2 linked regions of the Drosophila melanogaster genome follow. The protein of the gene in region 2 interacts with the protein of the main gene of each other region in a pairwise test. Each region holds a gene or a part of one and is shown on either strand. Other genes may lie near its edges.

The links.
Region 1: the proteins of CG31244 (region 2) and CstF50 interact in a two-hybrid assay, tested with the Drosophila melanogaster proteins (one large-scale study listed by BioGRID).

What each region holds. Positions count from the first base shown.
Region 1 is NT_033777.3:31,734,796-31,738,500, forward strand, and holds CstF50 (cleavage stimulation factor 50 kD subunit), read right to left. Parts: upstream 2,169-3,705; 5' UTR 2,086-2,168; coding exon 1,150-2,085; intron 1,096-1,149; coding exon 757-1,095; 3' UTR 708-756; downstream 1-707. Other genes in the region: CG11563 (uncharacterized protein), read left to right, coding at 2,347-2,444, 2,521-2,805, 2,864-3,104.
Region 2 is NT_033777.3:19,396,968-19,400,567, reverse strand, and holds CG31244 (uncharacterized protein), read left to right. Parts: upstream 1-2,000; 5' UTR 2,001-2,085; coding exon 2,086-3,051; 3' UTR 3,052-3,138; downstream 3,139-3,600. Other genes in the region: INO80 complex subunit, read left to right, coding at 1-356, 423-563, 694-871, 935-1,275, 1,340-1,601, 1,662-1,829.

The DNA.
Region 1 (3,705 bases), about 12 Mb from region 2:
CGGCTTTAATTATAAACAATTCGACTGGCCGCTTACTGGATCCGCACACGATCCGTAAGGCAAGCAACTTTAGAACTTTTCATTTCTCTTTGTGATTTTGTTAAACCTTTTTATATAGACCTTTGTTTTTTATTTTTTGTTGTACATAGCTATATTTTGTTTAATACTCAAAGTCCGTAGTATAATTTTGTTCATTTCCTTGGCAACAAGTTGGAATCAAATGTATTGGCTAATTGTGCAATCTTCAAAACGTGTTGGTGGCTTCGGAGGAACGCGACAACGCTGTTCTGCGGCCCCACGAAATGTTGTAAACTTAATTAACTACTAAGGCCACTTAACTAGGATCTAGGTGTAGTCATAAGGCATTGGATCAATGTTCCAGCGTACAACAAAACGGACTTCCAGTGAAGAGACAACTGATATTTATACGGAATCCCAATCTGGTATTATGTATTATGATTTTTACAGTTTACTTAACGCAACAAATACGACTTAAGACTTGTGCGCTCAATGACTAGAAATTATAGTTGCGATTTTAGGATAACTATTCATGGAAAAACCACAAACGAGTTTTTAATAAAGAAAATTTTACTGATTAATTATTTTTAAAAGCGTTTGAAACATATTTCATTAATTCTGATAAAATCACAAATCGATACACTTAAAAACCCCCACAGCCAATCACAATAATTGAATAATGAACGTGTACATATTTTATTCCTTAAAGTTTTATTCGATTGGTGTAGCTTCATCCGTTTACTGATTATTTGCTCTTCGGTACCAGAAACGTGCCCGAAAGTCGTCGGAGCAGGTGAGGAAAGCAGGACCATTGGGCGAATGCGTAATATAGCGGACAGGTCCGTTGTGTCCAAGCGAGTTAAGGGTCAGGCGGCAGCCGTTACGGGAGTTCCACGAGCAAAGCGAAGTGGTGGCCTCGTCGGGGAAAAGCACGTAATCCTCTGTGTGGTTGAATACAGCCTCTGTCTGGTGCTCCTGCTTGCCGGTGGTTCCAGCGCCCGTGTACGTCTGAATGGGACGACTGGTACACAGCTCCCACAGATAAACCAGTGAATCCATACCGGAAGATAGGAGGTACTAAAATGAATAAGTTAAAATCTTGCACAGCCACTACCCATAGTGTCCCATTACCTTTCCATTCCGCGTAAACTCCAGTGAGCATATTGCCGCTCCGCCATGCGCCTCGGCAATGGTGTTGATGCACCGCCCGCTGATCCCATCCCATATTTTGATGTCACCATCATAGCTGCCTGTGGCGTAGAGTTTCCCCGTGGGCGAATATTTCACGCAAGTAACTCCAGCCTTGTGCTGCTGCGAGGGAATGGCACTCACGAAGCATTGGGTGGTGGCCACATCGTAGACCCGCAAGACGTTATGTTCCGTTCCGATGGCTACGTAGTCACCAGTAGGATGAAAAGACAGGCACAGCACCGGCTCGCAGTCGGTGAACACCTTGTGGGCCTTCTTTACCGAAGGCTTGGCAATGTCAAACAACTTAACAGTGCCATCGCGCGAGGCGGAGGCCAGGATGTGCTCCTTGGGATGGAACTCCAGGTAAGACACTTCATCAGTGTGATCATAGAGCGTGCGAATCACTGGATGGCCTTGTTGTTCCCTGCCCGGCTCGATATCTTCGGGCGCAGACTTCGCCAGCATCCGCTCCACGTCCAGAATCTTGATGCTGGCATCCACGCTCCCGGTGGCCACCAGGGAACCATCGCAACTGAAGGCGCCGGCGCGACAGGCCTGCTTGTGCGAGGTCACATACGCGGTTTCGTAGGAATGTGGTTCCGGGGCCAAGGCCGAAGCCTCCGGCTCGAATTCCAAGTCTATGCCGGGCAGCACATCATCCGAGTTGGTTTTGTCCTTGTCGCTCAGCGTCTGCATCCCTGCAATCATTACGTGCAGCAGGCGTTCACTGGGAGCGCACTGGTCCGCCTTCACCAGCATGGACAGCTCCATGGCGAACTTCTCCAGGCCGTCGTACATCAGCTGGCTGATCATCAGTCGGTAGAGTATCTCCCGGTTCTTCACTAGGTTACTGGGGTCCAAAATCTCATCACGCATGGTGGCTTAATTTATATTTTGTTTCCTACGGATATAAACAAAATCTTGTAGATAACGCCGTGCCGTTATCGTTATCGAAAACATTTATCTTGCCGGTATGTCATCTCTAGCTATGCGGTATTGAAATACTGAAATCAGGGTTTCGGTATTTTACGGTCCACGGTCACTCCTAACAGCTGCAACACGTGCGGTTTTAAAATTGTTTTGGTCCCCTCAATTGATTTTAAACATTGTTTGATTCATTAATTAAACCTCTCAACAATGAAGATCCGCAAGAATCATGCTCGCAAGCGTTATCGCTACAATGTAAACCGCAAGACGATGAATAAAACCCGGAGTTCCACCGGAAAAATTAAGGAGTAAGTTGGATCTTGGTGCACTTACAGCCAATAGAGTCAACAAGTTTACGAAAACCTTCTGTTATGATCTTACCAGTCCCAGGATGAAAAAGATGTGGATGGAGGACCAGCGTGTGGGCACCAACTTCAGTGAAATGGGGTTGGCCAAGGACGTCAACAAGGCCATTGCGATTCCCAGCTACAAGAAGGACCGCCTCCTAGCGGCCCGAGTTGTGAATGGGTTTCTGGAGGAGGAGCTGGACGAGGATGAGCGGCGTGTATTGGGCCTCAAGAAACCAGTCGTAGAGGAGGGTCCAAAACGTGGACACGTAGTCCAGGAACTAGAACAACTGGCTAGCGAGCGAGCCGACCCAGAGTTCAGGTAAAATATTGATTCTGCAATGGAAAACTGTCAAAATACAGGTTTTGTATTTGCACAGATTACCCAAGGGCGTGGTCAAGGAACTGTCCTACTTTCTTAACAAACATAAGTTTAACTACAAGGCGATGGTTGCCGATCGGAAAAACTTTGGCCAGTGGACGTGGCGGCAGTTCCGCTTGAAGATTCGCAGATTTATGTCGATTCCGGAGCAGTTTAACGTTTACCTGGAGCAGAAGAAGTTGCCCGTGGGCGTGAAACCGGACTGGGAGGAATACGAGTCGGACAGTGAATGGAAATAATGGCTCTTGACCAATGTACATTATAGTCGTTTTCGGGTTCTAATGCTATTAATTGTAATGTTTAGACTTACTTTAATTCTTTTAATACAATAAAATAGGCAAGTAAAGACGAACGCAAAAGGTCTACGTATTAAAGCATTACTGTTAATTACATTACATTACTATTAACAGTATTTTTTCAAATTCCTTTCTAACATTTTTGTTCTGTCAAATTTTCTATTGTTCTGTCGTACGACAGGACGAGAGAGAGAGAAAGGAAGGAGCTTGCGTCTTATTTCAACGCATAAGCGAATAGTGTGCACAATGTCTTTTGCAATTAGTGGTGAATGTGCATACTTTTAGTGACAGTCCGTGAAAGTACTATATTATTTTATCTGCAAAAGACTCAGTTTAAGAGAATATAAAATATTCCATGAATGGTAGTAAAATTGTATTACTATTTTTATTTTGGTACGTTTTATACTTAAGGGATGGAAACTTTATTTAAGTCAAGAAATCCGCATAATGCAATAGGAAACCCAAGGCCCTTGTCATACATGGAATCCTGTGCCATCTCTAGGTCGGAATCAGTTCAGCTCCGTTCACCTCAGCATCGTTGCTT
Region 2 (3,600 bases):
ATAAAGAAGGATGTGGAGAACGAGCTGTCGGATAAAATTGAGATTATGGTCTATTGTCCGCTGACCATACGTCAAAAGTTACTATACAGGGCGCTGAAGCAAAAGATCCGCATTGAGGATCTCCTTCACCTGACCAGTGGATCAACCACTACTTCGTCCTCATCTTCGGCATCGAACCTGATGAATCTGGTCATGCAATTCCGCAAGGTATGCAATCATCCTGAGCTTTTTGAAAGAAGGGACGCAAGAAGTCCGTTTTTCATGCGCTGTGCGGAGTATACCATTCCCAGATTGATTCATGAGGAAGGACTCATACACAGAATGCTGCCCAGTCGAAAGCACTTGCTCTATAACCGGTAAGTGGATAGGTTTTGAACATTTTATCATATTTGAATTTTTAATCCTTGACTGCCCATTTGCAGGTTCAATATCTTCAAATCGGAATACATACAGAGGTCTCTCTTTGAGGATGTGAACGTGAATAGTTGCTTCGGATTTACCCGGCTTTGCGATTTATCTGTGGGAGATATGGTAGAAGTAACTTTAAATGGACTGATAGATTTGTGAGTATTCCTATACCCTTTACCTGTAAGTAACATGTTTATAATAGCAAAATTCGCAAATGTCGTGCTCCTTTGTTTGATAATAACAAATGGTTAAATACTTACAATACTTACGTTTGTTTTTCTACAGTCTTTTGCATTATCGAAGAGTTTTGGAGAAATACCCACTGCTGGCCTACCGTCGCTTTTGGTGGAAAAAGCAGCCGGACAGTAGATATCAACTGCTGGAGCCGATGTTGGAAAACAAACTAGCTCTCGACTATATGCCACCAAACAGTGTCCTTAAGAACTTCATATTCACAGCAATGGTATAATTATTTATATTTATAAATTTTTATTCGAACAATTTATACAATGATTTATGCTTAAAGACCGCCAACGAAAGCAGCGTTTACGCATTTGGCGATTACTTTACGTACAATATGCAGGAAACTATCGAACACCGTGTAATTCGGTCAAAGATTCTGAAGAAGAAAACGTCGCTAATCGAGGAGATGGAGGATGTGTCCAAGCAAAAGCTGGAAATCGAGTCTGTGGAGGTGCAAACAAAGTCGAATGCCAAAAGCGATGTTAAGGTGACGACGCTGCTGCTGCTACCAGAGTTTCCGCATCGCCCACGAAAGCCAAGAAAATACGTATGCGAACCGCTTTCCATGCCACGAATACTTTACGATTTGGGACAAAAAGTTCAAGCTGTGCATAGATATTTATAGTAAGTTTCAAATGGATTCATCGAAACCGATCCAGGTTTTTAACTTTTTTTATATCAATTTTAGCTGCGATAGTCGATCTGCAGCGTGGTCCCAGATTCGCCACAATCAGTGTGAGAATAGCCAGGGCAGGGAGCTTGTCTCCAGTGGATTGGCCTTGTGCAAGCCTCATGGTGGATGGTCCTCGATTGTGGTGCCCGACAAGGAAACCCTGATTACCGATGCTGGTAAGCTTTTTGTTCTTGACAACTTGCTAACTCGATTGAAGGCGAATGGACATCGAGTACTCATATACTCGCAGATGACCAAGATGATAGACCTGCTCGAGGTAAGTTTATTAAACTTGAAACGATCACTGTTCAGTTTAATTTTTTGATAAAATGTCTAGGAGTACATGTGGCACCGCAAGCATCGCTATATGCGCCTGGATGGCTCAAGCAAGATATCCGCTCGTCGCGATATGGTTGCCGATTTTCAAACGAGAGCAGATATCTTCGTGTTCTTACTGTCTACGAGAGCCGGAGGACTGGGAATTAATTTAACAGCCGCCGATACGGTGAGTTCATATTATACTTACTTTTTCATTTATGTATATTGATGTACAATATCAATTTTTTTTACCGTGCCTTTCAAAAAAGTTTGTCCCTTGTTTCGATTTCGTTTAATTTTTTCTTGAAATCACATTGTGAATTTATATTAGTGCCTTTTAAAAACTTTTCACTCATACGCTCTCCGAAATTTCTATTGTATTAGTCAAATCCATTCATTTTCAACAATAACTTTAAGTAGTCCAAATTTCAAGTTCATTTCAAATGCATAACAACAGCTGTTTAGAACCCATGGACAGGACCAAGACTACGAAACTTCCTCAGCTCAAGTCCAGCGTTACTCCCTACAGACCAAAGCCGAACCTAATCCGTAGTGATTCCCCGAAATTAGAGAACGATAAGCGTAATGGGCTGGACTTGGAGCTTCTGGATAATCCAGAGATACCGAGCGTAAAGCGAGTACGATGGGCTCCGATGTATGGGGAAAGGAGCCCGAGTAAGACCGGCTTTACCAGCGTTCCACTAAGCTCCAAAAAGGCGCAGTTTGATCATGATACGACAGATGAGTTAATACTGGCTAACGAGCTTCGATTAGCGGTGCATCGTGGGGGAGGTTCCATAGATCCCGACAAGAACTACGAGCTGAGGGCTCGACTGTCGCCCTTGCAATTGCCGTACAGTCGAGTGCAGCGAATTCTGAAGGAGTGCGAGTTGAGCGAGAGGAATCATCACACCTATAGTATACCCATGGACTATGGGCGGCAATTGGTTGCCATGGTTTGCAAGATCAGGACGGATAATCTCCCCGAACTGAAACTTCGCTTGGCCTCCTTACTGCGGCAAAACAAAGCGCGCTTCTTCAATCGACATTTATTCAACGAAACTGGCTTGATTGAGGCCACATTGCCGAGCGTAACACCATTAAGCTTTGAGGAATTCAATCAAACGTTGCGAATTGATGCTTTGTGGTGCAAAGCCACCGATAGTACCATTACCGATTTGGCCAAAGGATCTGTTTTGTTCAAATGTCGGCCTCTGGACCTGCAAGAGGTCGCGTACAAACTCAGGCAGTGCAACTACAAGATTGTACATAAGGAGGTTGGACACTGTCCAAACAAGCCGCTCGTCGAGTTAAATGATCGTCAAATGGCCCGCTATCAGGAGTTTCGTAAAAACCTTCTTCAAGACATAGATGTCGTAAAGATCTATGACAATGTGCGTGTCCAGTAGTTCAAGTCAGTTCGGCAAAAATCACAAGTAATTTTAAATTATCAAAAGTTTAAATTATCCGTAATACAAAACTCTTAATGACCCTCTAGAACTTTATCGTATAAACTATTTGTATAGTTTATTGTAAAGAATGTTTTCTCTATTTTTTTTTAAAGTGTGTTTTGATCAGTACTCTATTCAAGTACGAAAAATAGCCATATGTTTTCACATATGAGAGCGTAATTATAATTGGGACTGCTTTGAGTAGGTACTCAAACGTCGAATATATAAGCGGTGACTAATTTGGAAAGTCAAATAAATTTTAAATATAGTACTATGACTTCTTCCAAAATGTTTTATATTTTTTCATATGCAGGCTTAGCTCTTAGTTCTCTACATTATAGTAATTGTTCCCCATTCATTTGATGATTTATAGACAGGTTTGGGACAATATTTTACACGTCAGTATAGAGAGAGAAATTCCTTTGCCATTGTCCCGATCTCGGTGGCGGAAAAACCCTGTGTGGCTCTTGTATTCATTTGCTAAACTACTTGTTCATGCACTGCGGC